2 linked regions of the Arabidopsis thaliana genome follow. The protein of the gene in region 1 purifies or fractionates together with the protein of each later gene. This does not show direct contact. Each region holds a gene or a part of one and is shown in the gene's direction. Other genes may lie near its edges.

Evidence for each region.
Region 2: the proteins of AT2G24440 (region 1) and ATERDJ3A fractionate together in Arabidopsis thaliana (co-fractionation; one large-scale study listed by BioGRID). This does not show direct contact.

Annotation. Positions count from the first base shown.
Region 1 is NC_003071.7:10,386,126-10,397,326, forward strand, and holds AT2G24440 (selenium binding protein), read left to right. Parts: upstream 1-4,949; 5' UTR 4,950-4,998; coding exon 4,999-5,312; intron 5,313-5,596; coding exon 5,597-5,693; intron 5,694-5,811; coding exon 5,812-5,871; intron 5,872-6,286; coding exon 6,287-6,367; 3' UTR 6,368-6,893; coding exon of another isoform or gene 6,894-7,736; 3' UTR 7,737-7,809; downstream 7,810-11,201. Other genes in the region: NAC038 (NAC domain containing protein 38), read right to left, coding at 75-261; FLA3 (FASCICLIN-like arabinogalactan protein 3 precursor), read right to left, coding at 6,894-7,736; AT2G24460 (C3HC4-type RING finger protein), read left to right, coding at 8,386-8,838; AT2G24470 (filament-like protein (DUF869)), read right to left, coding at 9,703-9,938, 10,455-10,497.
Region 2 is NC_003074.8:2,730,052-2,742,020, forward strand, and holds ATERDJ3A (DNAJ heat shock N-terminal domain-containing protein), read left to right. Parts: upstream 1-7,245; 5' UTR 7,246-7,254; exon of another isoform or gene 7,255-7,305; intron 7,306-7,401; exon of another isoform or gene 7,402-7,436; 5' UTR 7,437-7,537; coding exon 7,538-7,627; intron 7,628-7,843; coding exon 7,844-7,899; intron 7,900-7,995; coding exon 7,996-8,069; intron 8,070-8,224; coding exon 8,225-8,736; intron 8,737-8,845; coding exon 8,846-9,187; intron 9,188-9,391; coding exon 9,392-9,745; intron 9,746-9,923; coding exon 9,924-10,214; 3' UTR 10,215-10,498; downstream 10,499-11,969. Other genes in the region: AT3G08960 (ARM repeat superfamily protein), read right to left, coding at 354-515, 614-683, 811-867, 947-1,053, 1,269-1,490, 1,581-1,625, 1,899-2,057, 2,172-2,276 and 15 more; AT3G08980 (Peptidase S24/S26A/S26B/S26C family protein), read left to right, coding at 11,228-11,381, 11,475-11,547, 11,965-11,969. UniProt on the Arabidopsis thaliana protein: Regulates protein folding in the endoplasmic reticulum (ER) lumen. Functions probably as a co-molecular chaperone that is required for normal growth of pollen tubes under high-temperature stress.

The DNA of each region.
Region 1 (11,201 bases):
TATGTTTATTCATACATGTGATCTTTTAATTTGTGTGTGTCTACGAATAAGAGACTTAAGATAAATTAACGTACCAGGAAGCTCCCATGGCTCGGACTTGTTAAGATCAACGTCAGCGATTGCTTTCCCGGTGAAGTTTTGATCGGCAATCTTATTAACCAAGTAATATGAGATTAGCTCCTCATCCGTCGGATGAAATCTGAAACCCGGTGGCAAAGCTTCTTCTTCTTTCTTATGCTGCTGATGATCTCCTTGTTCCATTTTATATGATCTTTAGTTTACTCCAAATCCAAGAACCTTTTTATACCTGCTTAAAACACATAGTAACAAGTCTAAGTTTCACATAGATCCTAGCGTTCTACAACTGTTTATCCATAAGACAAAGGTATTAAAGGAGGAATTCGAAAGAAGAGAGAATAGTAAAAGATCGATATATATGTATGATATGTATAGGGTGAGAAATTGGGCTTACTTGTATAGATGAGGAAAAACCAGACAACTAAAACTTTTATGAGATTAGGGTTTTGATGGTATTTATATATCATGAGACAAGGATGACTTGCGACTATTCTTAGGAGGAAAAAGATGAAGGAAGACGACAAAGAGTAGGGTTTTTTTCTTCTTACTTTATCGTGAATGGGATTAAAAAACAATTACGCTAACACGGTTTTGATTAATTTATAAATACATACACATATTTATCAATTCTAAGTTTTGTTAGCATATTTAGAAAACCCAATTACCATCTAAGTTTGAAAGACATAGAATTTTCAATAAGACGCTGTAAGAATATAATTTACATTTCAGTGTTTATGTGATTGTTTATAAATAATTAAATAACATTACTATTGTATGGGGTAGAAATTATTATGTAGAAAAGGGAGGAAAATGTGGAAGAGAGTGTGTGCATGAAGCTCTCACCTAATAAGGGTCTTCAAGTACAAGGTACATGCAGCTAAACCTCACACGTCCAAATTTTATCCTTTGTTTATTTTGTGTAGTTGGTCAAGAAATTCTCCTTTTAGGACCCTTATTAATTCATCTTAGCTTATACATATATACAGATATACTTATACACACACCCACATGTGTATATTCCCTATATATATGAATGAACTATGTTGGTGTTAAGAACGGAAAAAAAAAAACCTTATGTTGGTGTTGGTGTCGGATCACGCACGAGCCGGTCCGTTTTGTTGCTAATTACGACTCCCAAAAAAAATCATATGTTTGGTTTAGGGGTCAATGGTCGATGGTCAAAGAATCAAATGGTTTATATGATTTAATTCAAATATAAAATGGTCATGAATAACACATCAAATAAAGAAAGAAGGAAGACTACCCATATATATGGACTATGGATGGATCCAAGTTTTCTCACTGTCTTTTCCACGTGAACAATTTTGTTCCAAATATTAGCTATTCTTCTATATAATTAAACACAATAAAATATTTACTGTTTTCCCAAAAATAAATTACCAAAAAAGGACACATAATAATTAATGACAATTTTATTTTTTGACTTTTTTTTATTTTGTCCATTTATGTTTTTATTTTATTCGAGTTGGTATATATTCACAAAAAAATTGATTATTCACAACTTGATCACGTATCTGTTGAGAATCAAATTAAAGACCTCCAAAGAAAAGAGATTTAATGGGAAAAAAAAACTCCCGATGTGACTGTAAACTCTTCTCCTCAACAAAACTTGTGACATTTTTGTTACCTCGACAAGAAAAAAGAAGAAGAAGAAGAGAAGTTATGCTCGCTGAGTGCAAGCGTTGAGTTTTCTTTTCAAGTAGATATATCAGTTTGTTGAAAGTAAGTGTTGAGTTTACGTTTAATTGGAAAGTGAATTTTAGCTTGCTAAAATTAAATGTTGCGTTATCTCTTCGCATATAAATAGATTGCAGTTCTGTGGATGTAATTTTGAGTTCTATCTTCACACAAAAATAATTTAGCTCGTTGAGGCTGTTTTGAGTTCAATCTTCTTAGAAAAGTACTAAGTATTGAGTCATCTCTTCCGCTCAAGACCGCAAAATGACCAATGTTAGTTCCATATATAATATATCTAAGATCAGATATGGATGAGTTTGCGTGTGTGTAATTTGAGTCTCCTTCAATTATCTTAAGGATTTCATGTGATCATTCAACAACCCGCTGATTAATTCGCTCCAACACAAATACATATTTGGAAATCAACCTAGCATTTTAGGTACCCTCACTTCAAGATCATTTTGTATAAACGTAATATATAATCATTCTTTACGGTCCAAATATTGCGGACACATTGTTGGTTTTCTTCCAAACTTTTTCCGACGTCTTGTCCTAATATATTGATTTTGCCCGACAAAAAAAAGGTGTATAGAGTAATTAATCAATGGAAACCTAACATTTAACTTTGAAGTTTTGAAATTCCGGTTTGACTGACTAGTGGTAGGATAGAAATAACTTGAAACAAAACAACAACATAACTTAGAAAGATTTAGATTCATATTCTCATAATTAGAAGAAAAAAACTAGCTTAGACTCCGACTATACATCGTCAAAAGTACATGGAATAATTGAACAATAGGGCTTACTAGATATTTAATATTAATAAAATAAAGAATTTGAATCAACAGTTATCGCAATTATCACTATAAGAAGTACCATTGTATAAACTATATTGTTGCTCAAATTTTCTTTGAAATACGATAACATTTTATTTTATTACCAAATGAAACATGCCAATTTTGAAAAAAAGTCATGCCAATTATACCATGAGAAGATATATTATAGTATATCTTCCCACATATTCTTATATTTCGTAGTCTTCCAGAAAATGTAGTAGGTTTAACTTATCAAACACTTCAAGTAAGAAAATGAAATGCGTCTTTAATCAACGACGAATGTCCCGATCATTAGAACCTACCGTTCTTTGTTCATTTTACCTCTAATGTTTCCTACGAAGCTACCATTATTACGTAGATAACCATTTTTTATTAACAAAATATGTAAAAGATTGTTATAATCTGTTTACAGTTCAACTTTTTCAAATGTTAGGATATGCTCACCCGTACAAGAAATTACGACACATTTATCTCATCATATTATCTTTCGCGTATATGATTGGGCAAACATTCTCACTAATCTAAAGCAAATTTGAATGATCTAGTTTTAGAAAAATCCGAACCATGCATGTTAATAGAAAATATTCACTCGAGAGCCTTTAAAATTTTGAAAATCTCATTTTATATGAAAACGACCTTCTTTTTTTTTACTATGATTGTTGATTAATTGGGTTTATTTTTGCATCATATAGCAGCTTCAATTTTTTCTTCTTTTATTTCCAATATACTTTTTTATTTTATCTAAGTGATACATAACCTTTTTAGTGTTAATACATCTTAATTTAGTCATTATGAAGATTGCATGACAGATCTACAAAACTTCTTACAGTGACGTAGACGTAGTTTGATTAATTTTAATACATATTTGTTTTGGTAACACCTACAAACTTCTTACAACATGATCCACCGATGACCGATGTGTGAATGTGAACATTAACCGATTTGTGTGAATATGAACATTAACCGATTTGTGTGAATGTTCACTATATGCATGGACATTCATCAATATCCCAAAGTTACTTTATCGTGTACGTATACTTTATATCGATATATATCTACTTATTATGCACTTTTATTTAATTTCATAAAATTTTGTGCACTTTAATTTCTTTCTCCATCATTTTGATTTTCAGAAAAAAGAGCATGAATCAGTTATTTAGTCCAAAAAGATTGTAATTTTACAACACAAAAATGCTCCCAATATAAGTTTAAGAAAGTATCATCCCACTATATTTTACTTCAATTGTAGTTTTGAATTTTTCGTTTGTATGGAGTTGTAGCATATTTTTATAATCTTAAAACAATCTCATATAACTTTGTGGTGGTGAGTGGGTCATTTGACCCCAAATTTTTTTTTATTTTATGTTATTTAAGGTTATAAATAAATTAAAAAAAAATAGCATGGAGTCAATTAACCCACTCACCACAATTTAGCTCTACATGTGATTATATACTACCCGAGTTACCAATATTTCATATACATGTCGACATTTACATCAACATGTATATGAAATATCGGTAACTCATAAATCACTAGTAAATTACAAGTTGATATAAACATATCTACTTAATCGAGAAAATGACACATTCATGGAAGAAAGTATTGATTTGATGCGGAATTCATGCTTGGTATGCTACTTGTAACACACTTCAAATATAATTCTGGTATTTTTACCGTACGATAATCAATAAAAGTCTTTGATTTTGATTTGTAATTTGTCTTTATCTAAATTTAATAAATCTTTGCACAAATTTGCAAGCAACAATCTTTCGAGATGGACACGTACCTAGTAGTCCAATCCCAACAGTATAGTATATATCGACTTAGGTGGTTAACTAATGACAGATTCCATTTCTTAGCTAAATTTTGTTTTTAACCTATTTGGCTATTTTATGTTTTGACTCTTCGAATACTCCCTATGTTCCAATTTCCAAGTAGTCTTGGACTACTCTTGGCTTGTTTAAGGTCTTTTCATAATCATTAACTATCTTCTTTTAAGTATGTTTTACTAATCCTGAAACGTTTTCTTTCCACTGATTAATCAGCAACTTCTGCAACGTTTTCTTTCCATTGATTGACCCAAACAGCATGTTGTGCTAATCTTTAGAAATAAAACGTCACGATGTGTTATACTGATGATCACTTAAACACACGCCTTTTATTATCACAGCGACCATAATCGAACAGTGTCAGTGTCTTTATTATTCATCAGTTAATCTTGACTGTCCATTAAAAATTTGATGACGTGTCCTTCCAAGGTAACTTTTAACCTTCTAACGTCTTTTTAACTAAAGTAAAAGTAAAAATATAAAAAAAGTGAAATATCTAGAGAGAGACAGAGAGCCCATTTGGTGCGGAGGTTGACAGAGCTTTAGTTCCGTACAAATGGCGAGTAAGAAGGTTGACGGAGAAGGAAAAGGGAAAGCTATAGCGAATACGAGGATGCTTCGAAGCATGGATCGAAAGACTCGAAGCGATACTAAGCGAGATGGTTCTTCTTCTAAGCTCATGAAGATCGAATCTCCGGAGAAGAAGAAACGGAAGACGACGAAAGCGAAGAATGTTGGAGCTGCGAAGAAGAAGGTAAAGAAAGAAGAGGTAGCTGTGAAAATCGAGAAAGAGGAGGAGGAAGATGATGATGCTGCAGAGAAAGAAGAAGATGACGACTCCGATAAGAAGAAGATTGTGATCGAGCATTGGTAAACGAAATGTCTCTCTCGGCTTTGGTTTTTTTCTTTTAGAGTTTCTGGAGAAAATTGGGGGAAAATGTAGTAGCGAGTATTTAGGGATTTTGTTCTCCGATATTGAAGCTAATCTTTGGTTTTGTACACAATGTGTCATTCGCCTATATAATTGATTCAATTTCGTTGCTTAGGTTGAAATGTGATCTATTATCGTATTTGGTTATGTTTCTTAGTGTGGTTTTGATTGATGTTAGGTTTCGTTATGTTGCTGATGTTTGTTTGTTGTTGTTTTCCTGAAGCAAACAATGCAAATCATTCAAGGAGAGGGCTAATGAGGTGAAGGAAGGTCTAGAGGAAGCTGTTCCTGGCATCATTGTCACTGTGAATCCTGATAAGGTAGTGAATCTTTTGCTGCAGATGTATATATTTGTCATTGATGCTTGTTGTTTATGATTGTTTGTACCAATGTGTGCATTAATAAGCTAATTCTTTCCTTTTTGATCTGCTTTAACAGCCAAGGCGTGGTTGCTTTGAGATTCGAGAGGAAGGCGGCGAGACATTCATCAGTCTTTTGGTAAGTTTTTCACTCTCATACTTGAATGTAGTATGCCAGTTAGTCGCACTTATGTGAGTGACTTGTTCCAGTTGGATTGATGTTTCTCGTCGTGTCTGTATCTATTCGCATAACATAGTTTCTTTGATGGTATACTTTAAAAAGTGAAAATCAACTTTATTTTCTTAAGCTCACACGAAATTGAGGCTATTTTTGCTGAGTCAACTGATCACCAATGAGGTTTTGTTAGAGCATTCATAAAATGGCCTTTGGTTGTTTGCTTTTTAACTGAATCAAGTTGAGTGCTAAGTTGTTTGAAATAAGAACAAACTAGCAGATCTGATTGTTAGTGACTAGGTGTACAATAAGAAAATGTTTGCTTTCATGTTCTTTATTCTCAGATGTATATAGAAGATGATGTGATTTTCTTATGTAGGCTATGAAGCGCCCATTTACACCGATGAAGGAACTTAACATGGAAGAGGTCATTGCGGACATCGTAGAGAAGATTAAGTAACACAGCTAGTAGGTTCTACCAATGCCGAGTCTTTCGTTTCCTCCTTGGCCCTCGGCTAATAGGCTTCAATATCTGACTATCTAGAGCAACTGCAGGATTTTTTAGGCTTAATTTTGATATATTGGTGAAAACCATTTGAGCACGGTTTCGTCGTTTGGTAGTGCTTGATCGGCTTTGTGCAGTTTCTTTATGCTAAAACTTCCTGATATATATGGGATTAAGTCTGTCTTCGTAATGCTAGTTTGAAGCAATTCGTTTCGTTTCATTTATTGTTGGATTGTGTTTGGCGTTCAATTACGTTACGGATTGGATGAATGAAGATAAAACATTTAGTTACAATGTGGTAATACAAGCTTCACAGGACAGAACATCACACTTTCATTGTCTAATGATAAATGATTGAGGTACAATAATGTGAGTAGAAATTGTTAGTGTCTTTGATCCACTTCGTATCACCATTGCCTCTGTCTATGTTCGAGTCTCATTATCAGTTTAATTTATCCTCGACTCGCTGTCTTAAATCATCTTAGAACCCAACAAAGCTAGCCACAAACCCGAGAACAAGGACAGCACCGAAGCTCAAACCGGTGTTAGAAGCAGAAGAAGGTGGTTCAGCCTCATCAGCTGCTGCCATCTTCTTCTTGCCAGACTTATCTGGAGCTGGAGCTGGAGAATCACTTTCTGATGGTGCAGATGCAGGTGCGGTTTCTGGAGCTAAACCAGGAGGAGCATCTGCATAATCCCCTTCATCAGCAGGAGCTGGAGCTGGAGTGGCTGCACCCTTCTTGGGAGATGGGGCCGGTGGTGAAGACATGGGTGGTGGTGGAGGAACCTTAACCGGAGACCCGAGTCCAGGTGCCACAATGGGCATGCTGATCTGGACCACAGAGAGATTGTACGGGTTACGGAAAACGGTTGTGATGTATTCAGCGGTTTGAGGAGCGCCTTTCACACCAGAACCAAAGTAAATCTTTCCGTTAGATTTGGTGCAGTTGAGGAAACCGTTTTGCTGTTGGCCCAAACCGGTGGACTGGTAAAGGGTAGTGAGCAATGTGCTCTTTTCCTTGAGAGCCTTGAGCTTAAGCTCATCAAAGTAGTCAAGAACCACATGGTTCATAAGAATGTTCTTGACCTCTTCCTCGGGTCTACCAGAGATGGAACCGATAGCATCGTTGTTAAGGGCCAGCACGGTGATGGTCTGACGTTTGTTGATAATTGGTGTGAGCTCGGTCTTGGCAAGAAGCTCGGTCATGGTGCTGAATTCAGGGTATTTCTCGAGCACTCGGGTTATGTTAACCGCTGATACAATGGATGAAACAGCGAGTAAGATGGTGAGACAGAGGAGAGAAGAGGAGACCTTGAGACCCATCTTTGGGTGTCTTTGTTTATTACCCTTATTATTCTATAGTAAAAGCTCAAACCTCAAAGCCTGAGTTTGCAATAAGAGGATCAGGTTGGGTATATATACAGACCTTAAGAGGAGCTCAAGATTAATGGTGGAGAGACATTTACTTATATTTGTTTTGGCTAAATTTGAACATGACTTTATTGTTACCTCTATATTTGGCTTTAGACTGTTTTATTTTTACCTTTGGTTCTGAGGTTTGCGTTATTGATACAGAGCCAACGTAGACAAGTCCATCCTAATCTTTATTAAGTCAATTCTTCAACAACTTGAGGTCCGAAGCTAGAATCAGGAAGTTGTGACAGGGTCATAGGATGTTTTATTTTATTTATTTTATTTTTGAAGATATGTTTTACCAACAAGAAAAAAGGAAATACAACAATAAAAATGCTTTTAAGAAGATAATAAGAAAGAAAGGACAATATGGAAGAAAAAAAAGGAAATTACATTAACGCGTTAGAACAAATTATCCTCAAGAGTTTTCTTGTTTATATAAACATAACATTACACCTTCACTTCTCCACAATTTCAGATTTCACAACAATCTCCTCTCCCATACGACTAATCTTTTCTCTCTATCTCTGAGTTTTGTCTAATTTCACTACGATCGACGATGGAAACTGAATCAATCAAACTCGATGTTCAAGTAACGACTACGTCTCAAGATCCGTCGTTAGGGTTGTTAAGCACGGTAATAATCACTCTTGACAGAGATCTGGAGGAATATGACGAGAATGTTGATAGCATCAAGAGCCTCGGATCTTACCCTGATTCTTCTACTCCCGACGAGTCACTAATCATTCTGAAACTCCCAACCTCCGAACCAGACTACATCTATCTAACTCTCCGTAGCAAACTCAAAGATCATCTCCACGATCATGTCTTGTCCGAAGAAATAGCTGATCAGATTTTCGAAGCCCAACTAGGAACTCAAAGTATTGATCAGTTTCCGTTTCAACAACCTTTATTCATGCTAGTCTCCGTCAAATTGACACAGAAGTTATACACCTACGCGCCTTGTAACGCTTCTCCGTTGGCAACAGATTTGACTAAGAGAGCAAAGTAGAAGAATCGAACTCGCATCTGTTTCATGAAGATTGTGTCGTTACTCATGTTCTCTGTGGGGAACCTGTTTACGAACAACAAGAGTCTAATTAGGGTTTTATTCGTGTGTCGCAAGTCTAAGTTTAGTTTTAATCTCTGTCGTAGACGTTTAAGATGCTAATTAGGGTTTTCTCATTGTCTATGTATTGATCTCAATACCTTTTTGTTGACAACATTCAATGCAGTTTACTTTAATAAAACTCAGAGTCTCAATTTGAAATTCACTTAAAAATTGTCATTACAAGTTTGATACTTGTATGATACACAACATTGATGTTAAAATCGAATTTTTATTCAGATAAAAGACAAGTGAACTTGAAGAACTAAAATTCAGATTCTCGAATTGTAATGCTTACATTACAAGTTTGTTTCTTGTTTTTAACAAAAATCTTGATTGGCAAGCAACATAAATTTTTATCTGAACCAAGAACAGTATTCGTTTAGAAAGATGAAATAAACAAGGAAACAATCTAATACCAGACTTAAGCAGGCGTTCATTGTTACGGGAAGCGAGATGTTCAGCAGAAATATCGGCCTCTGCGAAGTGTGTATTGTGAATTTGTGATTTTGAGACATGTTCCTATGTGCCTGAGGGTCTGTGAATTCATGCCCTAAGCTTTCAACTTCTATCTTCATCTGAGACATAGCAGCAGGACCATGAAGCTTCTTTTGTAGAAGCCTTCTTAGCCTTTGACACTCTTTTTCAAGTCTTGCAATCTTTTTCACACCTTCCAGATGCTGCTTATTTGCGATTTCCGCTGACTTCAAACTCATGTTTTTCTCTTCATTGTTGCGGATCTCAATTTCTCTCTCAGCAAACTGAAGATTAGTCTTTCAGCTTTTCCACATCAGCTTCAGCTTTAGACCTCTCCTCACTAATCTTTACTATCATCTCAGATCGTTCTTGCAACGATCTAGTGAGTGCTGCATTGTCAGAAGCTACTCGGTGAAGTCCTTGGCTCAATTCATCGATCTTTTCTTCAAGCATAGCTTTGATCTTTCCCCAGTGAGTGGTCTTAGCAAGAGTCACATCTTGCAGCTTCTGGTCACTCTTATCTGCAGCTTTAAGAGTGTTACAGATTCAAGTTGACGTTTAAGTGCTAAAGAACAAAAGACAAATCAGTAACAAAAACATCTTTAAACAGTCTGTATTTTCTAAATTTCTAATACTAACACACAAGAATTGCTCACATAACATCTCAAGAACTATGAAAGGTTTTGTGCTCTAACCTGAAACAGCTGCTTCAGCGACTTTTCCATGTTAAAGAATCATTCTTTAGTCGTAAACTCAGAGTAAGCATGATTGAGTCTTTCTTTAAGATTTAACTTCAACTTCAAATAATTTGGCCTGATCCTCTATTTTACTCATACGTGTGTATGACTCGATAGTTATCTGAACATAGTCTGTGTTCTTACACTTCTCCTGACAATCAAAACACAAAAGACTTACAAATGAAATTTATAAATTATCAAAACTGACACATTAGGACTACTAATCTCATATAAAAGCAGAGATCCTGATTCTCCAGAGAAGCTATAGGACATAGAACAAACAAGAGTTGACTCATTTCCAACAACCGGTTTCACAGTCGTGGCTTTGTCCCAAGACTTGCTCTTCCATGGCCAATCTTTTTGGTAGTTTTAGCTTCATTTTTTTGGTATATATATATATATAGATTAGTTTCGGTTTCGAATTTTACAGTTGGATTTAGGTGAACTATATTGGTTGGAAACTCCTCTTAAATTGATATATAGGATTAAATGTTTTACATAAGACCCTAAAACTTTCGATGATTGCAGCACATAAACCACTCTTTTCAAGTATGTTGAACACATTAGCGTTTTGGATAATCCAATTTTCTACACGAAAAGCAACTTTTCACTTGAAATATGTTTTTGCCAGCTTAAGTCAGAGAAAACATGAATACTATAGAGGTCTTTAAAAAGCATTTGATAAAATATTAGGTTGCTCCCAAGTAACATATAACACAATTAGCACATCAACATGATGATAACCAGAAAAAAAAAAAAAAAATCAAAGAGATTGTGAAATATCACAATTTATCTAACAATCTCTTTATTATTGTAACAAAATATATTTTGGTTATTAGTTAAAGTATTTGAAGAACTACTCTTGCCGTCTTCGGGACGCACGCAGTGGGCTAGTCTGGGCCCATTGGGCTTGGGATACCTGGGTTATCCAAAAAAAAATATATATATATATATATATATTTTGGTTATTAGTTAAAGTATTTGAGGAAAATCAAACAACACAATATAAACCGGCAAATTACAATAGGAAAAATGGTTTGGTTTAAGCACTCT
Region 2 (11,969 bases), on another chromosome or scaffold:
GGCAGCTAAAAGGGAATCACCTCATCAAAGATATGTACATAGTTCATCAAACCGCCAAGGTCGCAGAGGTCAATGCAACATGCGCGCCTATGTAACACACCCATCAAATCCATAACCGTAAAGGGAAGAAAAGCTCACTCACCTGAACAGTTATGAAGTGGCGAGTCAGATCAAATGGTGAAGAGGCAAAAACATTCAATCACTTGAATACTGATGAATATAGAAAAACACAATGGAGGTTTTTTAATGAATGACGCTGAAAAGAGAGAATAACAACGAATCAGAAACTCACTTGAATACTGCTGCTCTTTAACTGATAAGGAAACAAACAATCACGAGGCAAAAACATTTATTCACGGCAGCTTTAAGGCTTGCTTCACTTGTGCAAGCGCCGATGGGTGCATCCTACTAATGGCAGAATTAAAGGCATCTCCATGAAGTGTAGAACATGTCTGAAGGTTCTCACGCGTTGAGTTCTCTAGTGACATCTGGTAGATTGGGTCGGAAACTTTTATCTAAATAAGATCCAACCCCCCAAAAAAGAAGTGTAATAAATCAGTGGTTTTGTAGAAGCTGGTTCTTCAAGAAACCCATATTTTAAATTAACTTTTACCTGACTTTTCCGTAACTCTTTGCTTGGCGGGGTTTCTTCTCCTTGAGACCTGCTTGAACTCATGTCACCGCTGGAATTATAAATTGTGTGTTTCTTAATTCTTAGTGTTGTGAACAGTTCAATAACAAATAAAAAAAGTCACTTAAAATTAATTTAATAATGTTATGTAATGTAAGTAATTAAAAAAAGTATCTGACCTTGATTCTTCTTCTGTTAAATCTTTGTTTTCACCAAGGATCACACTGGTGCATGTACTGTTTCCAGAAACGCGATAAATTATATCACAAAGATACATAAGTCAAACTGTTAATTCTCGACTGTGCAAACCTGTACCTTAGTATTAGATCAAGCTTGTCAAGAACTTGGGGCATTCTAAGTGTAAGTATTATGGAAAGAGCCAAGCCAAATGTCTTTTGTTGCATGGGAGACGCATGGTCCACCTGCACGAGTAGATGCAAGACTAAAGTGCGTCAGATAATGAAAAAGAAACATGCATTTCAACATGTAGAGCAGTTTGACAATGAGATATTGCTTAGGATTCAAGAAAAAGACCATGTAAAGACATGAAACAAGTTAATATTCCATTATCTGAAAGTTAATAGTCTAGAAAGCTATTCGAACAACCAGTAATGTTCAAGATGTGTTCTTCACTGACCTTGTCGAGCCAAATGTCGATGAGGCAAAGGAGTATATTGTCTTCGACTGGGACACCTGCCTGTTGGAGTAACACTGAAAGAGATGAATCAGATGTTAGCTGGGCCAGGTAAGTGGTGTTCATCACCAGAATCCTTGCAAGGATAGCTGCTGAAGACACTTTAACTGCAGTCTTGGATGGATCACGGTCATCTCCACCACTCAAGCAAATAATCACCAGTTTCTGCGAGAAAACGAACAAACCAACTCCATCAGATGCATTAAGGAAGAAAATGGATTTTGCATCCATCAAAAGAAGACTAGAAAAATTCACCTGCAAACAGCTGCTGATGAGAGGGGGCACTTCCACAGGAAAACACTGCTCAATACACAAGCACATGTTCATATCAAGAAGTTAAACTTGGCGTAATTTGCAACACATTTATAGAGAGTCATGACAAAAAATTCCAGTGTAATCATGCCAAAAGTTCCATTACTGGTCAATATATATGTATCCCAAGAGATGAGGCTATGTAATACAAAAATAAATGCAGTCTAGATACAAACTTAACAGAAGAATAAGTATCTCTGGAACTTAAACACCATCACAATAAGGATACGACCAATTGGGAAAATGGGAAATTATACGCACCTGAACTAAGATGTCAATCACTGGAAGAATCGAGAGTAAACCCTTATCATTTACATTTCCAACGATAAGATCAAGAATTTTTGCGACACTTGAAGCATGCATATTTAGAAATTCTCCTCCATCCAAAATGATATACGAATCCATGATACTGACAGCAACCTATATATGGTCATTTGAATGTCTCAAGACGTAACATGTTGAAGTAAATCTGAACACACACATGTATAGGTCATTAATGAATCAAACAACTCCTTGAAAACTTAAAAAGCTCACCTGTAAATGATCAAAACTTCTTTCAATGATCTCCACCATATAGGGAAACAATGCTAATAGCTGGGGCACCATCATAGGAGCATAGGAAAGTGTGGTTTCCCATAACTGCATATGTAGAGCAGTGTTATTAATATATAGCGCATTTGTATCAGCAGAAAAGAAAGGTATACATGTTATGATATGGAAACTTACTGCCATGCTATCCTCCAGAAGGTTGAGTGAATCAGGGCTATTTATGTCAATGCCCTTTTGGAGTATTGGGAGCAGTATGCTATAGCAAATGGGAGACTGATAACCAAGTGCAATCACAAAATTTCGCAGTGCGACAAGAAGCTGGATCTGCAGAAGGCTTTCACCAGAAGATTCCTCCCAAACCTGTTCTTAAGTCAACCACATAGATAGTCAGCTATAAATTGCGGACCAAGAAAAGAAAAAACAAAAAAACAAATCCACAAAGAAAGCTAGTATACCTTCTGGAAGAATTGCACCAACTTTTGTGCGTACGGAATGACTTCGCTAACATGGCCAATAAGAGTAGAAATCAAATTCAGAATTTGAACCTGAGAATAGTTAGATGTTGTATGAGTCATCGAAGGAAGTATAATGGCAAGAATGGAGTGCTATAATGAATTTGAGGCAGCTACATCAAGTACCTTCGAATCAAACTCTTGAACTACCTCGACCATTTTGAAACATGAATCCCAACAGATTGGAAGAAGATCAAGAAAACTTTGCTCCGAAAAATTTGCATCCTCGACATGTAAGCATAATGACCTACTAGCTGCCAGCTACATAAGTAAACAGATGATCTCAGAGGTCACCAATACATATAAAGAAAAAAATGAGAGAATGTGCCCTTAATGCAAGACAGAAAGATAAAAGAAACAAAGATGAGATAAGATGAGACTACCTTTACAGCGAGGTCATTGTCTTGCAACAATTTGATCAAAGCACAATAAACTGCTCTTTTTGTGTCATCCTTAATCTGAAAGGTTGTAATCATCAACCATTTACCATTAGCCAACCATTTTTCAACCAAAATCTAATTGACGAAAACTAGGGTAGAGAAGAGAACACAAACCAACAGGGTAACTAACCCTAATAGCCATTTGTAACAAATAACCAGAAACAATTCTGCTTTTAGATGGCTATCCCTCATTGACTCAACTTATGGACAAGATATTATGTCAATTTGCAAATTATGTTATAATCTTAAGATGCTTTTAGAAAAAAAGATAAGATGTGATTTCCTCCAAAGCCTTGTCAAGCTTAGCTGCATAAACATGGTAAAGCCGGTGTAAAACAAGTAAACAGCAGTACCTCCGAAACCCAATGTCCCAATATCATAGCAACTTTTCGGTGGATGATACGCCTATTTGGATGGTCATTTGAGAGTTCAAGGGATAGAGCACCATTAAACCTGCAGCCAATCATCCGATCATTAAGAAGGGTACAATAATTACTTGACTAATCAAAACTTTTGTCACATTCTGCTGGCTAGCAAAATGAAGGGTCAAGATGTTTAGAGCAGATGGAAAAAAGATTCAGACATTAGAAGATCAAGAGCATACCAATCTCTGAAATTAAGATAATTCGAGAGCTCATAGTAGACATATGCAGTAGCAGCGTATGCCGCATCTTTAAGAAGCAGTGCAGGAGTTATTTCAGTAACAGAAGGGGGACAATTATTCATTGCTTCTTGAAGGATGGACACAACAATAGGTCCTAGCAGCTGTCCACAATTATAGAGACAGATGGAATACGCATCAGTTATAGCGTTTAATGATATCTATATCAATTAGCAGACTTCTTTTCAGAACAGGATGAAGTGCCTAAGACTATTTGCTACTTACTTGGCTGTAGTTCTCAAACAAAACCATATATAGAGCTTCAGCACAAGGCCTCAATTTCTCTGTCCACTGAATCATGTCCTGCTCATGATGAAAGGACTCAGGGTTCTGGTACCACTCCTCTAGGTCACTTGCTGTTAGTACAAAATACCTGTTGGAATGTCGATGGTTAATTTCAGTAAACTTTTCTTCCAGGCATCATTCATACAACGACCATGACACCATCACAGTTCACAACACAATAAATGAACTTAATGCATGCAATAATTTTCAAACTAGCTCCACTAGGCCCCGACAGTAACATTGCCTTCTCATTTATTCCATGCACGCAGCAAGAAGAGATTGAGACCAGAGATACATAGATGTACAGCAACTAGATCATTATGTGTCCACAAGATTGCCCCAGCTCATATTATGTTTTGGATTTTGCATTGGTATTGAAATTTATGTATTATCAAATTAACTAATAAGAACTAAGGCATGAAATAATATGAATATAACAGGGCCACAGTTTGGTAACTAAGAGAGACCCAAAAATTTGAATTCACATATCTTACTGTTAGTTAAGAGTGTTACCGTCTCACTAGTACGTTGCAGAGAAGAACTATCCTTTCATTGGGTAAAAGTGACGACACAATGCCACCAACTGTGTTGGAAGCATTCTTCTTCCTCTGCTCAAATGTATCTCCGTTGTCATCCATCACACGACCAGTTCGACTTGGCTTATATTCTTTACATTCAAGCACAGATTTCACCATCACCATACACTGAATAAAAAAATCTTCAAATGGCAACAATGCCTGTTCGGGGTCCGTTATCTTGTTTAAGCAGAAATCCACTACAACTGGAAGAGCACATTTATCTCCAAACGAAAATGGATGCCTGCTTTGAATAGCACCTAACACCTTCATCAGCTTGACACATGCCTTCTTTACAAACTCCCAGAATTTAGGATCTCGATTTTGAAAAGATGAATCTGCATGGAGGCTCCACACAAGTTAGCAATACATACATATATATGTGTGCTGACAGGTCATATGCATGAAAAAGAGTTTCCACCACACAAAAAAACTCACAATATGGAAGAAAGGATTGAGCCGCATTCAAGAGCGCAGGAGAGACTTCTTTCACTGGTTGTATCTCCTGAGAGAAACGAGTTAGCTGTATATTCTTTTATCTGCATGAAGAGCATATGCCGGAGAGCAAGAAAGATTTCTCTATCCCGATGTAGTCAACCAATCTATTAAGGTTATGATTTCAACTTAACCATTGGAAGATAGCAGAAGAAATGGAAAGTGCGGGGAACGGAACACATATTTGGCGAAACTATACCACAAGTTCATAGAAGGGAGATAGCTGAAGGTGAATGTGATAATGAACTAAAAAGATTCATGAAAAAGTATAGTGTATCTACCTGTATATTATTGGCATCGCTTAGAAATCCTGAAATTATCAGTTGGCGCACTATTTTCAAACATAAAAACCACCTCTCACAAGTCAGAAAAAGCTCATCGTGATGCTGCTCGGCACTATTTGAACCATAGCTCTGAACCATTGTTGAAAAGCCATGTAGAATTGTTTGGACATCAGTTTGCCAAAGGTGCCAACTAAAGTCGAAGAATTGCGACGAGATCTGCCAACAAATTAAACTGGACCTTATCCTTAACTAAAGCAAAAAACGAAGCTTTGGTCCAACAATAAATTCATTCAAGAGGAGAAAGGAAACTGATAAGGGGTTGATGTTAGTAGCAGACTCACCTCAGCGAAGGTCTTCTGATCCGCAGTGAGACGTTTAGTAGACAATTCCTTTAAGGTTCGAAAAAGAATCAGAAAGATTCTGTGAGAAGCCAGAACGTCAGCTGAGTGAAGCTGTTGCGCTAGTACCGAAAAGAGATCAGGCCTGATATCATGAAGCACGCAATGCATAAACTCAGTAAATCAAGGAAGATAGTGTCCAGTTAATATGAATTAAGAAGGGAAAATGCTGACCATTCCCTAGGATAATCAAAACGGGCTATCTTCGATATGAGAACAGCCAACATTTCCGCTATCTGCAATAAAGCAAACAAAGTCAGATAGATATGCTTACAAAGTATATGCCTCAAATGGTGTAGTCAAGGAAAAAAATCAAAAGTAAATGCTACAACACCTGGTAGTTCTCTTCTCTCAAGTGAGACAACAATTTCTGCCTCAGATGACTCTTTTCCTCGTTGCTCATACTCCTGTAAGAATTGCCAGAAAGAGTGTCAAGGCCTAACATACAGGGTAGTATCTTTGCAGAGCGAAGAATCTAAACGAGCCAGCTAAAAAGAATTATAAGTAGAATTGCCGATTCCGGAAACAACTTGAACTTACCATGAATTTCTTCTGCTCTTCCAATGACGGTTGATACTGTTCTTGAAATACACTGAGGCCATTAATCTAACGTCCACATGGGACACCAAATCCTTGGATGCAATTACTTCCTGCAACCAAACCAGAGGAAATGAGCGAGTAAAATCAAGCTGACATTTGCAGAAACCACAAGACACATAGATTAGAAACGCTACCATAAGGCAAGAACAGAAACCAGGTCTACTCTCCGACAGAGATAGAGCCGCCTCCGCCGGCCGCCGAACGGTCTCGTCACCGCTCATTGAATTAGCTAATAGCGTGTACATCGCCGGCAAATCGGAAGCCGATAACGCCATCAGATCCGACGATATTGTTGACCTAATTAACCAAGGAAACGTCGAGGATGAACCCTAGAGGTTTGTTACGACGACGATAAAATCTCACGGCGAAGGAAGGAAAACGCGAAGCTAGTAGAGACAGAGAAGAGAAGAAAGATCGTCTTCTTCTTCCTCCGTCTTTCAACTTCTCTTAAGCTCTTGAAACGTAACAATGTCACTAGTGAAAATGATTTCCTCTTTTTTTTTTAACAGTCGAAGAAAAAAGAAATACTTACCGTCGCTCTGATCGGATTCCGATCACCCAACCGGAGACTTTCGTTTTGGGCTAACTACAGATTATTGGGCCTATAATAAATAAGCCCAAATTAATAATCGCGCGTGATCTTAACGGCGCGTGAACGCAAATAAACAACGATCGCTCGTGTTTGCTAAAATCTTATTGGTGGAGATACGTGGGATTGCATCAAATTTGCCACGTATGATACCCGCCTTAAATTGAGAACGGGAAGCAACCGGAATTTATTTTCAGGAAATACGAAACAACCCCTGCTAGTTTTTGAAGTGAGTAATTGCCCCTACCAATTTCTTAATCCAATTGACAATTTTGGTGTCTTTTGTAAGACTATTAAATATGGGGAATACTCTAAATTAATTAAAATATATATGTCATTCGAGAAATTTCCTTTTTTTCCTTTAAACCCTGCGAACCTATTTAATGATGTCCTTCTCGATTTTTCTCGAAGCGTTGAGTTTCGTGAATAAGACACGCTTAGAAGAGGAAGAAGAAGATTCGTTGACAACAAAACAATAAAAGAGAAAAAGATTGAGAGGTTGTACTTTCGGGATGGTGAGAACAAGATTGGCGATATCTGTTGTTCTTGTGTCGACATTGTTGTTGTTGAATGTGAAAGCGAAGAGCGTTGATCCTTACAAGGTACGGTTTGTGATTCATCTTGTTTTCTTTCCATTCACAAGTCTTTTGATTGGGGCCGGAAATAATGATTACTTTTGATTGTCCCCTTTCTCATTGAAGTTTGGGCTGACAAATTTGTGGGTGTTATAGAAAAGAAGGATTTTTGATATATTAGGTTTTGCTCAGTAGTTTTTGCTATTGATTATAAACATTATTAACTAATGAATGCATCTTCAGGTTCTTGGAGTATCTAAGGATGCAAAGCAGCGTGAAATCCAGAAAGCTTTCCACAAGTAAGCACCCTTCGTTTCTAGTCGCTGATTAAGCTAATAATTCGAATGATGATCAACAAATAGTTTACTCATGTAGCTTGTGATTTTTTTTGGCAGGCAATCTCTGAAATATCATCCAGATAAAAACAAAGATAAGGGTGCTCAGGAGAAGTTTGCTGAGATTAATAATGGTAGGTATCAAATTTCCCTAGGAGATGTGTCCTGTAATCGAATCTTTTAGTATATTATAAGATTATTCTTGTTCTATGGCCATGTGTTTGTGGCACAAATTGAATTTTTGTTGATCTGGCTTTGACAAGTTTAAACCCTTATCTATGTGTAACAGCGTATGAGATCTTATCTGATGAAGAGAAGAGGAAAAACTATGATCTTTATGGAGATGAGAAAGGACAGCCTGGATTTGATTCGGGGTTTCCCGGAGGTAATGGTGGGTATTCTTACTCCTCAAGTGGTGGTGGTTTCAACTTTGGAGGGCCTGGTGGTTGGCAAAATATGGGCGGTGGGGGAGGTTCCAAATCGTTTTCTTTCTCGTTTGGCGGTCCTAGTGAAAGCTCCTTTGGTTTTGGTATGGATGATATCTTTTCCATGTTTTCGGGCGGTAGTTCTAAAGGAAAGGAGCAGTTTGGTGGCTTTGGTAGCTCATCGAATGCTGAATCTAAATCAAAGAGCAGTACTGTAGCAGCTATCAAAACCATTAACTCTCAGGTCTATAAGAAGGACGTTGTGGACCAAGGGATGACTTGGCTTTTGTTGTCGTATCTTCCATCTCAGAGGGGAAGCCAGTACCATGAATCCATCATAGAGGAAGTTGCTGAGTCGTTGCAAGGAGCTTTAAAGGTAAAACATATGCTTGTCAAGTTAGTTGATTTTGGGTTTTCTGTTTCGTTCTTAAAAGAAGAAGTGTAGTTTCTTTTGTTGTTTACGTGATTTAACTTTATGTTTACAGGTTGGGCGATTAAATTGTGAAACAGAATCCTCTCTTTGCAAACAACTAGGCATAGTTCCTCGTAGGGCTCCAAGGATGTTTGTTTATTCATACACATCAAGTGGCAAAGCTACCTTAGCAGAATATACTGAAGAGCTTGTTGCAAAGAAGGTGAAAAGCTTCTGCCAGGAACATCTACCGAGATTCTCAAAAAAGATTGATCTGAATACATTCGATGTATCTGCCGTTAGCTCACAAAAGACTCCTAAAGTTTTGCTTCTGTCAACAAAGAAAGACACTCCTGTCATCTGGCGGGTTCTAAGTGGCTTGTACAATGGACGATTTGTCTTTTACAACACAGAGGTTTGTTATATTTTGGCTTTAATTTCCACTTACATCACTATTCCTACAATTATTGTTACTGCGAGAGTCTGATGGTCGTAGAAATTATGGGGTGGTTCCCTGGTCCACGTTTAATGACGAGTCAGCAAATTTGAACTTAATTATTAGAATTCCTTAGACATGAAATCTTTTTAGCTAAAGTATTTTTTTCTCATGATCTTGTAGGTCCATGATACTTCTGATCCAAAGATACAAAAGTTGGGGGTAGACAAGTTTCCGGCAATAGTTGGTTGGTTATCGAATGGGGAGAAGCAAGTCTTGAAAACAGGTATCACTGTGAAAAATCTGAAATCAGCTGTCCAGGAACTTGGTAAATTGCTTGAAGGATTAGAGAAGAAGAACAAGAAGGTCTCTTCTAAGAGTCAGGCGGGCCAAGCCCCTAACGAGTCCTCAGAAAAGATACCTCTTCTGTCAAGACCAAATTTTGACTCCATTTGTGGGGAGAACACTCCTGTTTGTATCATTGGTGCCTTCAGATCGTCAAATGGTAAAGAGAAGCTGCAGTCAATAATGTCCAAGGTAAACAAATATATCACTACCTCTATACTCTATTTATATGCCTTTGGCTCAGTATGATAGTTAAACACGGTTCTTTGATAAATTTCAAGAAGTGAAGCGGTGTTCTTTCTTCAAGCCATTACTCTTTTGGTTCTTTGACTTGATGATGAATAATCCTCCGGCTCTATTCTTTGTCCAGGTATCCCAGAAATCACTCTCTCGACGACAAGCTTCAACCACAGGTTCTCAGGACACAGTATCCTATTCGCTTCTAGACGCAACAAAACAATCTGCGTTCTTGAGCTCCCTTGACAAATCAGAGTTCAAAACTTCTTCTGATAAGCTCCTAATAGCTTACAAGCCTCGACGAGGTAAGTTTGCTACATTCAAAGGCGATATGACTATTGAGGAAGTTGAGAAATTCGTAGCAGCTGTTCTTAACGGAGACATACAGTTCACAAAGACAAGACAGAAACCCCAGATCAAATGAAAGTTTTTTTTCATCAGACATTAGTTTCAGAGATGTACATCGTTTTGGAGGAGAAAAGGGTGATTTTTCACGTTTCCTGTGTTGCAATCTGCTTTTGACAGTAAGTTTGTGTATTGTCAAGAGACGTGAAACAGTTCTATAGGACTAGAATTATGTCATTGTACTGAGTACTGACTACTGAGTTCTTTGTAATTATTACAAATTATAAATATGAAAATGTTGGGGTTTTGACTTTGAACCCCAACACACTTCTGAAATTAGAGACCGGTAAAAACAGTTTAAAAGCCGCAGTGACCCTGATTTACTCCAGTTAACCACACTCTATAGACAAGTTAGAGTGTTACTTTTTGGCAGAATAACAGTTTAAAAGCCGCAGTGACCTTCGGGCCTTTGACCGCGAATCCAACGGTCACGAACCGGAAGAAACCAGACTAAATCCGCGACACGAACTTTTTGATTGAACCGGCTAATTTATGGTACCAGCTAAACCTTGTAGAGCAAAAGAGAAACCCTGATTCTTCTTCTTCACATCGTCGCGAGCTCTGGTTCTCTGCTCTCATCCGCTTCACAAAATTGATTTGCGAGTCGTTGTGTTCCAACTCTCATTCTTTTGCACCTGGATTTCTTCCATTTTCAGGTTATTACAATCACGTTAGATTTTGCGTTTTTTTTGTTTTCACAGTCCTGTGGTCGATTTCGATACGGTTCGATTAGGCTTACACTTCAGATTAGTTTCATCTTTCAGTTCCATGAATCGATTAGGTTTAGTTCACTAATTTTAGCATGGTTTGAGATTAGATTTAGAAAACCCGATTCATTAACTGGTTGACAATGCTGTGGTTTTAGACTGTAGTGTTTGATCTAAAATGGTTTTCTGTTTGATATAATCGTATTGGTTGTATTTTAAATCTCATTTAAATGATGTATCAACTATAAAGCCTTCTGGTTTTGTTGCAGATAGATGGTTCTATGAATGTTGCTGAGAATCAGATATTAGTTAGGCCATCTTGGACATGGGAATCCAGAATATTTTATGGCAAGTGGCGAAGAAATCATTCACTGGAAGTATTATAGGGCTTACCATTTCAGATAGATGTTGTAGCGTTGTTCCAGTGAGAGGAGATTCCATGTCTCCCACATTTAATCCCCAGCGGAATTCTTATTTAGGTAAGTGTCCTACTGCACAAACTGCTAGAAGGTAGACTTTTGCTTATTTTGGTCCATTCTTCTTTCTTATTAGATGTTCAAATGTTGATGCAGATGATTATGTACTTGTGGACAAATTTTGCCTTAAGGATTACAAGTTTGCGCGTGGTGATGTTGTAGTGTTCAGGTATGTTCCCTATAATGCCACATTTGAGTCATCCTTTGACAAGGGAAGATTATAGCTACATAATACTTAAATACATGTTGATCTCTTGTTTAAACCTTTTCTTGGATGCTTACAGCATTCACAATTTTATTAAATCTAATTCCCTAAAACCTTACAAATGTTTGTTGTCCTATTTGTGGTGCTGAACCATGAAATTCGTGCATATTCAATCTCTGGTACATTTGATATAATGTATTTGGTCATGAATACAAACTCTTTGGATTCTATTCTTGCTTTTTGCTTCCTTTAGCTCAGCTTTTTCAGGTCTCAAATCTGTTTTATAATGTTCATCTGACATTGTGCCGTATGTGTTCTAAGTTGTATATTTTGAAATACATCATTAAGCTCCTGACGATGTGAACTGCATCTCTGTGGCAGCTCTC